Canis lupus familiaris: one gene and its partner. The protein of the gene in region 1 interacts with the protein of each later gene in a biochemical or structural test. Links are inferred from orthologs where the notes say so. Each region holds a gene or a part of one and is shown in the gene's direction. Other genes may lie near its edges.

Evidence for each region.
Region 2: the proteins of SEMA4D (region 1) and CD72 form a complex in vitro, tested with the Homo sapiens proteins (2 studies listed by BioGRID and IntAct). The link is inferred for Canis lupus familiaris from reciprocal best matches to the Homo sapiens genes SEMA4D and CD72.

What each region holds. Positions count from the first base shown.
Region 1 is NC_049222.1:97,582,689-97,585,545, forward strand, and holds part of SEMA4D (semaphorin-4D), read left to right. Parts: intron 1-1,471; coding exon 1,472-1,644; intron 1,645-1,723; coding exon 1,724-1,767; intron 1,768-2,532; coding exon 2,533-2,857. UniProt on the Homo sapiens protein: Cell surface receptor for PLXNB1 and PLXNB2 that plays an important role in cell-cell signaling. Regulates GABAergic synapse development. Promotes the development of inhibitory synapses in a PLXNB1-dependent manner.
Region 2 is NC_049232.1:52,470,914-52,475,182, reverse strand, and holds the start of CD72 (B-cell differentiation antigen CD72), read left to right. Parts: upstream 1-1,163; 5' UTR 1,164-1,313; coding exon 1,314-1,395; intron 1,396-1,481; coding exon 1,482-1,589; intron 1,590-2,248; coding exon 2,249-2,320; intron 2,321-2,866; coding exon 2,867-2,956; intron 2,957-3,500; coding exon 3,501-3,836; intron 3,837-4,269. UniProt on the Homo sapiens protein: Co-receptor of B cell receptor (BCR) that plays both positive and negative roles on B-cell functions. Recognizes the Sm/ribonucleoprotein (RNP) self-antigen ligand, and coligation of CD72 and BCR inhibits BCR signaling.

The sequences.
Region 1 (2,857 bases):
CTGGCCAGCGAGGCCGGGCAGGGGTGAGGCCCCAGTGCCCATGGGCAGACATACTGTGAAGCCGTGGACCTGCACTCCACCCTATGGTGACGGATGCTTGCTCGTGGGGGAGACCTCAAGGCTGCTGGGTGTCAGTCCCTCCTGCCCACGGGCTTCTGCACCTGCCAATGGTCTCAGCCACCCCCCGCCACTGTTTGCCTGTTTCCTTCTCTCAGAATCTGTTACTCCGTGGCTCTGGGTCACGGAAGCCCAGCCCTGGGGACGGGGGTGCAGGGACATGAGCGCCCCATCCCCCCATGCCCACAGCCACACACTCAGGTCTGGTGTCAGCTGGGGCTTCCGGGCAGTCTGTGCCCTCCAGGGTCCCTCAAGGTTGCCTGCTTGGCCTTCCCAGGAACCCTCTCCTCTGCAAGCCACGTGACCCCGAGAGGGGTCTGGGGTGGCATCCTCAGTCCTTTCAGCAACCATGTGGCCTCCTCTGCCTGGGCCCCACCAACAGGGATGGGCTAGCCCCCAGGCCTGGCTCTCTCTGCCCCTTCTGACCAGAGGACAGTCTGCTGTGGAGGGGACTTCTTGGCTATACTCACACAGGGTGCGTCACAGGCCAGGAGCGCCAGCTGGACGCTGCTGTTAATTCCCTGTCTCCCCCCGGGGAAGGCTGCAACTCGTTTGGGTCTGAAACACTGACTTCTGCTGGGTTCTGTTAACCCTGAGGTTAACCAGAAGATCTGTGTGGGGTCGGGGGAGACGGGCTCACCGGCGGAGGAGACCGTGGACACACATGCAGAATTGCAGCCCTGCAGCATGGCTGTGCCAGGAGGGGTCCCCGCTGTGTCCAGGGGAGCAATTAGCCACCTGGGGGGCCTGGCTCTCTGAGGGGCCAGCCGTCAGCCTCCCTGTCTGCGTGCTCCTCCCTCGCAAACCTGGCTGGTCCCTTAATCCTCGTGCTGGAGTTCTGCATGTCCCCCACCACTCTCTGGCGCCTCCTTTCCTGGCCCCGCTGGATTCGGACACTACTGGGCTGTCCGTGCACAGCTGCTCAAGCCAGGCAGGCCTGGGATTGGGCTCCGAGTTGTACCCTTTGGCCTCTGTCCTGTCGCGGGGCCAGGAGTGTCCCACTGGAGGAGCCCCATCCACACAGAGGAGCTGACCCCCAGCCCTAGTGGGGCAGAGACACGTCCACACTGGCACCCAGACGGGAGGGCTGGGGGGTTCTGGGGGGGCCTGTGACCAAGGCCCCGAGTGCCGAGTTAGCGAGGACTCTGCTGAAGAGCACGCGGCCTCTGCGGGCTTGAGGTGCTGCTGTTGGGATTGGCCTTGGAGTAGCCCGGCTGAGCTCCGGTTCTGGAAGCTCCTGGATGAGGGATCGCGGGAACGTGCTTGCCACAGCCGGCGAGGTGGAGAAGCACCTGCCACCAAGCGCATGAATGCCACCCCTCATGCGCCTGTCCCCTCTGTCTCCCCCGTGCAGGGCAAGAGATTTGTGTACGCGGGTTCCAGCTCGGGTGTGGTGCAGGCCCCCGTGGCCTTCTGCGGGAAGCACGGGAGCTGCGAGGACTGCGTGCTGGCCCGCGACCCCTACTGCGCCTGGAGCCGTGCCGCCGAGGCCTGCGTGGACCTGCACCGGACAGACAGCCCCAGCAGGTACCGGGGGCGCGCGTGCCGGCCACCCGCCCTGCCCGCGGGGAAGGCGCGTGAGTGACCGTGCCCGCTTGCCTTGCAGGACTTTGGTTCAGCAGATGAGCGGTGACACGTCCGTCTGCCCCAGTAAGTGGCCCCTCCTCGCTGTGCTGCTCGGGGGCGGCCGGGTCTCGTGATCGTGTCGTGGTGCTGTGCTGTTGTGGCATCTCGTACATTCTTTTTTCCTTTCTCTACTTGGAACAGAGGGCACGTATCCATGAGGATACAGAGGCCGACCCCGCCAGCCCCTCTGGTTGCAGCCACGTAGTGCGTTCACTGGAAGGTGCTCGGCGTCCAACCTGTGACATCCAGTCTTGAGACGCTCCTCTCTCCCGCTTAGCTTGGGGCTGCTGACACAACCCTGAGGGTCCCGGGAGGGGCAGCGGGAGGCGTCCTCGTCCCCTCGGCGATGCCCCTGCCGGCCGGGGGGTCAGGCACATCCCTTGGTCTCCTGGAAGGCAGCCGTGCCCTGGGCTGTCACGCTCCTGATGTGGACTCGACAGCGGGGCAGCCTCAGGAGGATGCTGGGCCACTGAGAGTCCACGGGCCCCGGAGCCGTTGGCAGGAGCGCGGCGTGTGACTCCGCGTGTCGCCGCACGGCCTCGCAGGGCACCAGATGGGATCTCTGTACCCGGTTGCTCCCGAGTTCCTCATCCCCTGGGGCTGCCATCTGGGGCTCATCTCTGCTCTTCTGTCACGCATGTCTTTATCTCCTTAGTTGTTCTGGAAGATTCTGTGTTGCTCTAGTGGGTGAAACTCTTGTGTTCTCTTGTGCGTGTTGACCTATCTTTGAAAGAAGGGAAGTAGCGGGCCGGGTTGTTGACACTGTGCACGTTTATTTTGGTGTTCCAGATGAAACTAAAAGTTTCCGGGAGCATTTTTTCAAGCACGGCGGCACAGCAGAACTGAAATGCTCCCAAAAGTCGAACCTGGCCCGGGTGGTGTGGACGTTCCGGGACCGCGTACTCAAGGCCCAGACCCCCAAGTATGGCCTGGTGGGCAGGAGAGACTTGCTCATCTTCGACCTGTCAGAGGGAGACAGCGGGGTGTACCAGTGCCTGTCGGAGGAGAGAGTCAGGAACAGGACGGTCCTGCAGCTGCTGGCCAAGCACGTTCTGGAAGTCAGGGTGGTTCCTAGGACCCCGGCTGCCTCCACCCCACCAGCCGCCCGGACGGA
Region 2 (4,269 bases), on another chromosome or scaffold:
CCTCGGGGCTGGGTGTAAGGGCACAATGTTAAGGCTTTATAAGGAAAGAACTTTACTAGGAAAGTAAAAAAAAGAAAACAACCAAATCCAGACCAAGAAAATATCAAAGCCTCAAATCCAGTGTCTGTGTGCTCAGCACCCAGCCCTGTTGTTTCCTTGCCTCCATTCTGTCTAAGCAGCTGCTGCCCTCTCATCCCCACCCAACTCCTTTGTTCACCTGCCCCCCGGGTCCCCACAAGGGTGCATAAGGGGTCAGTGCTGCAGGCTTTTCCAAAGGTGCATGAGCTAGGGGCTGTCCCTCATCCTTACCCCCAGCCCGGGCCTATCCCCAAGCCTGTGCCTCCTGGACTCAGCTCACTGCATCTAGCTCAGATGTTGGGACACAGGATGCCCTGAGTCCAGCATGGGGTAGGATGGGATGAGGAAGGGACTGACTGGCCAACGGTGTGATGGGTAGGGAACAAGGGTGGACAAGGCCAGGGAAAGGCTGTGAAGAGGGAATCTAGGGGAGTTTGTAGAAGAGAAACTGTGTGGTCCTAGCTCCTCTGCATCCTCCAAAGGCCTGCCACATTCTCAGGAAGGGCTTTGGAGTGAGAGCCTCCCTATGTGTGAGATCCTTAGCATCTGCAGGACAACAGCAGGAGTGGGAGGGTCTCCCCCCGCCCACCAGCCTCCAAACTGATAGGGAAATGAGCTCCACCAAATCGAGGGCCCCTTTCTGGGAACCCATACCTGCTGGGAACCCCAGGATGATGAGGAGCAAGGGCTCCACACTAGGACCCCTCCAATATGATGTGGAGGCTGGAGCTCCACTCTGCAGCAATGACTGGGGAGATCCTCTGGGTTTAGTCAGGCACCAAAGAGCTCTGACAACACATAGATAAGCCCATGGACAGAGCAGCATAGGGCAAATCAGGGTAGATGACCAGGAGGACAAGTATTTAGAGCCCAGCGCTGCCAAAGCGGGTCTGGGGTGCATGAAGGGGGAGCACAGGCAGGACACAGGGATGGGCCTGAATAGTGATCCAGTGACACCTCCATGCTGCAACCCCATGTTCTGGACTTCAGTTTCCCATCCCCTGTCCCTCTGGCAGAGGCTCAAGGATGCCATATGCTTCATTGAACCCATCTGTGTCTGACACTTGCTGACATCTTCCTCTTTTGCAACTGGAAGTCAGAGGGTAAAGCACTAAGCTGTGCAGTCACAGAAGGAAGACAGAGCCTCCGAGTGTGAAGGGACAGAGGGGAGAGTGGGAAGCTCTGGGGCTGGTGGAAGAAAGGGTAGACGGGTGGGAGCCGGGTTGCTCAGGGCAATGGCTGAGGCCATCACCTATGCAGACCTGCGGTTCGTGAAGGCTCCCCTGAAGAAAAGCATCTCCAGCCAGTTAGGACAGGGTAAGGGTGGGCAAGGCATCTCCTTGATTCCGCATCCCCAGGCTCCCTCATGACCCCACCCTCACCTCCACCATTTCTCTCTTCAGACCCAGGGACTGATGAGGATGAGGAGCTTACCTATGAGAATGTACAAGTGTCCTCAGTCTCAGGTGGGCCCTTGAGTTTGGCTTCTTCTGGAGTAGGAGACAAAGCAGGTACGGAGAGCCCAGAGAATGTGTGTGTGACCGGGCGGGCTGTGTGAGCGTGTGTCTGTGTCTTGAGCTGGGAGTCCAGGTATCCTTGGGGTGGGGGTGGGGGGGCGGCACAATATCCCTGGGAAAGGAGGGGGTGCTTAGGAGAGAGAAGAATGACCCGTGGATAAATGGGAGCCAGGGAAGAATAAAGAGCCCAGGGCCAAGGTGGAGATCCCAAAGGGGTGACAGGGGCTGCGGGGAGAGATTGGGGCAGCCCCTGTGAGGAGATGAATTCGGATGGGAAACGGGAAGTCACGGGACAGAGAAAGGGTAGGGGAGAGGGATGAGAGCACTTCTGGGGAGACGGTTGGGAAACGCGGATGCGGGCAGTGCTGAAAGAAACCTAAGGGGAGACCCAGGAGGGAAAGGAGGGGGTCCCGGGAGAGCGGATGCAGTAAGACCCAGGAGAGACAGGAGTCCTGGGGGAGATGCGGGACTCCGGAGAGTGCTAAGGGTGTCCCCGAGCATCACAGACGTCGCCGAAGGCGTCCGGGACCGGACTGGGGACGGGGCGGGGGGGGGGGGGGGGCGCCGGGGAAGGGGAGAGGGGGAGCTGGTGGGAAGAAGGGGAATTTCCCGGGGCTTCCCGACTTCGAACTCAAGTCGCCGCGGGTCCGCAGGGCTCCAGGCAGAGCAGCCAACTGCGTCCTGGGGCTCCGTGACGTCACCGGCTGCCGGGCGGCTCCTCGCGGGTGAGTCGCGGGCCCTCCCCGCCGGCGCGCGCCCCCGGCTGCAGGGCGGGGCAGCGCAGGGGGGCGGCGAGGGTCGCGCGGCGGGGGGGCTGGCCTGGGCCGGTGCCGGGCCCGGCGGTGCGCGGGTCGGCTCCCGGGAGTGAGCTCGGGGAGCAGCGCTCTGGGCGCGGCGGGCAGCCCCGAGGCCCCCTCCCCGCCCCTTCACCCCCATACCCGTGTGTATCATTCCCCCAGGTTGACCCAGATCTTCCCTCCTCCCCCTTTACGGTGTCCCCGTGCACATACCCCCTGTCCTCTGTCCCCGTCTGGGATTTGTTCCCATCCCACCAGGTATCGCTCCTCAATCCTTACCAGTAACGATTCCAGCCCTTATTCTGGAACACCTTCCTTCCGCTACCTGCGGAAACTCACGACCCGACGAACCCCACCATACCAGCACCAGTCCTCTGAGGGATACTCTTTCCCGTGAATATCCCCACTCACCCAGCCCCGCAGCCTACAAACTTTCCTGGGGCTCTCTGCCCTTCATCCCACTGTCTCCCTAAGGCCGTGCAGCCTGTATGCAGTACCTCTTTCTTGGCCTGCTCCTCACCTGCCTGCTGTTGGGGGTGGCCACCATCTGCCTGGGAGTGCACTGTGAGTATGACTGTCCCCCACTGCCCATGTACCCTGAGCAATATTCTCCCCTACTCTCCCCAACAGCTGCCCTTCCTCTGGGCAGGGCCCAGTCACTACCACTACATGCTTAGCTTTTTGTCTGGTTTCCAGCCAGGTCTGTTTTAGAGTGCCATGTCTTCCTAAATTGTCCTTACCTAACCCAGTACCTCCTTAAGCTTTAGGCAGTCAGATCTTACATTTCAGCCTGTTATGCAAAAATTTGCAAGAAGCAGAAAAACGGGGATCCCTGGGTTACTCAGCGGTTTGGTGCCTGCCTTTGGCCCAGGGCGCGATCCTGGAGTCCTGGGATCGAGTCCTGCCTCGGGCTCCCGGCGTGGAGCCTGCTTCTCCCTCCTCCTGTGTCTCTGCCTCTCTCTCAATCTCTGTGTCTATCATGAATAAATAAATAAATAAATCTTTAAAAAAAAAAAAAGAAGCAGAAAAAGGACTGACGCTGAAGAGTCAGGGTACCAGGGCATAGCTGAAGAAGATGTTCTTCAAATCTCTCATTATGGCCGAACAGATCTGCAGGTTTCTCAGCAGCTCCAGCAGACCAACAGGGTTCTGGAAACCACTAACAGCAGCCTAAGGCAGCAGCTCCACCTGAAGATAACCCAGTTGGGGAAGAGGGAAGAGGATCTACAGGGGTCCAGGAGGGAACTAGCCCAGAGTCAGGAAGCACTACAGGAGGAACAGAGGGTTTGCCAGGCCACCCAAGAGCAGTTACAGGCCTGCCAGTCTGAGAGGGAGAAGACAAAGGAGGCCTTGCAAAGTGAGGAGGAGCAAAGGAAGACCTTGGAGCAGAGGCTGAGCAGCTTTCAGGACACACTGAAGCTCTTATTCAGATGCCCCTTATCAGGTATCTGCTCCGGGAGAGGAGAGATGGGAGGGTCTGCTGTGAGGGATGGATTGAAGTGAAGAGACACTCCTGGCAGGGGTCTATCTGGCAGGGAGCCATTGGGTTGTTGAGGAAAGGGATAGCAAATGAGAGTGGTGGCCAACAGAGAGGAGGATCAAGGTGCATTCCAGATTTAGGGTGACTCACCTAACTCTAAGGCAGATCCTGCAGGAGGGAGGAGGGTGGCAGCCAACAATGCAGATCACACTGTCCAAAGCACCAAACTCAGGTCTCCCATGGCTTGATATCAGTGTCAAAGATCTGAGAAGCCCCTGAATTGGGTTGTGAAATTGGTTGTTTACACATTTTTCTAAAAAGAGGGTCTGTAGCTTTAATTATTTCTCGCTACATCTGAGATTCCCCAGGGGTTAAAAATTACTGATTGATGAAGTGC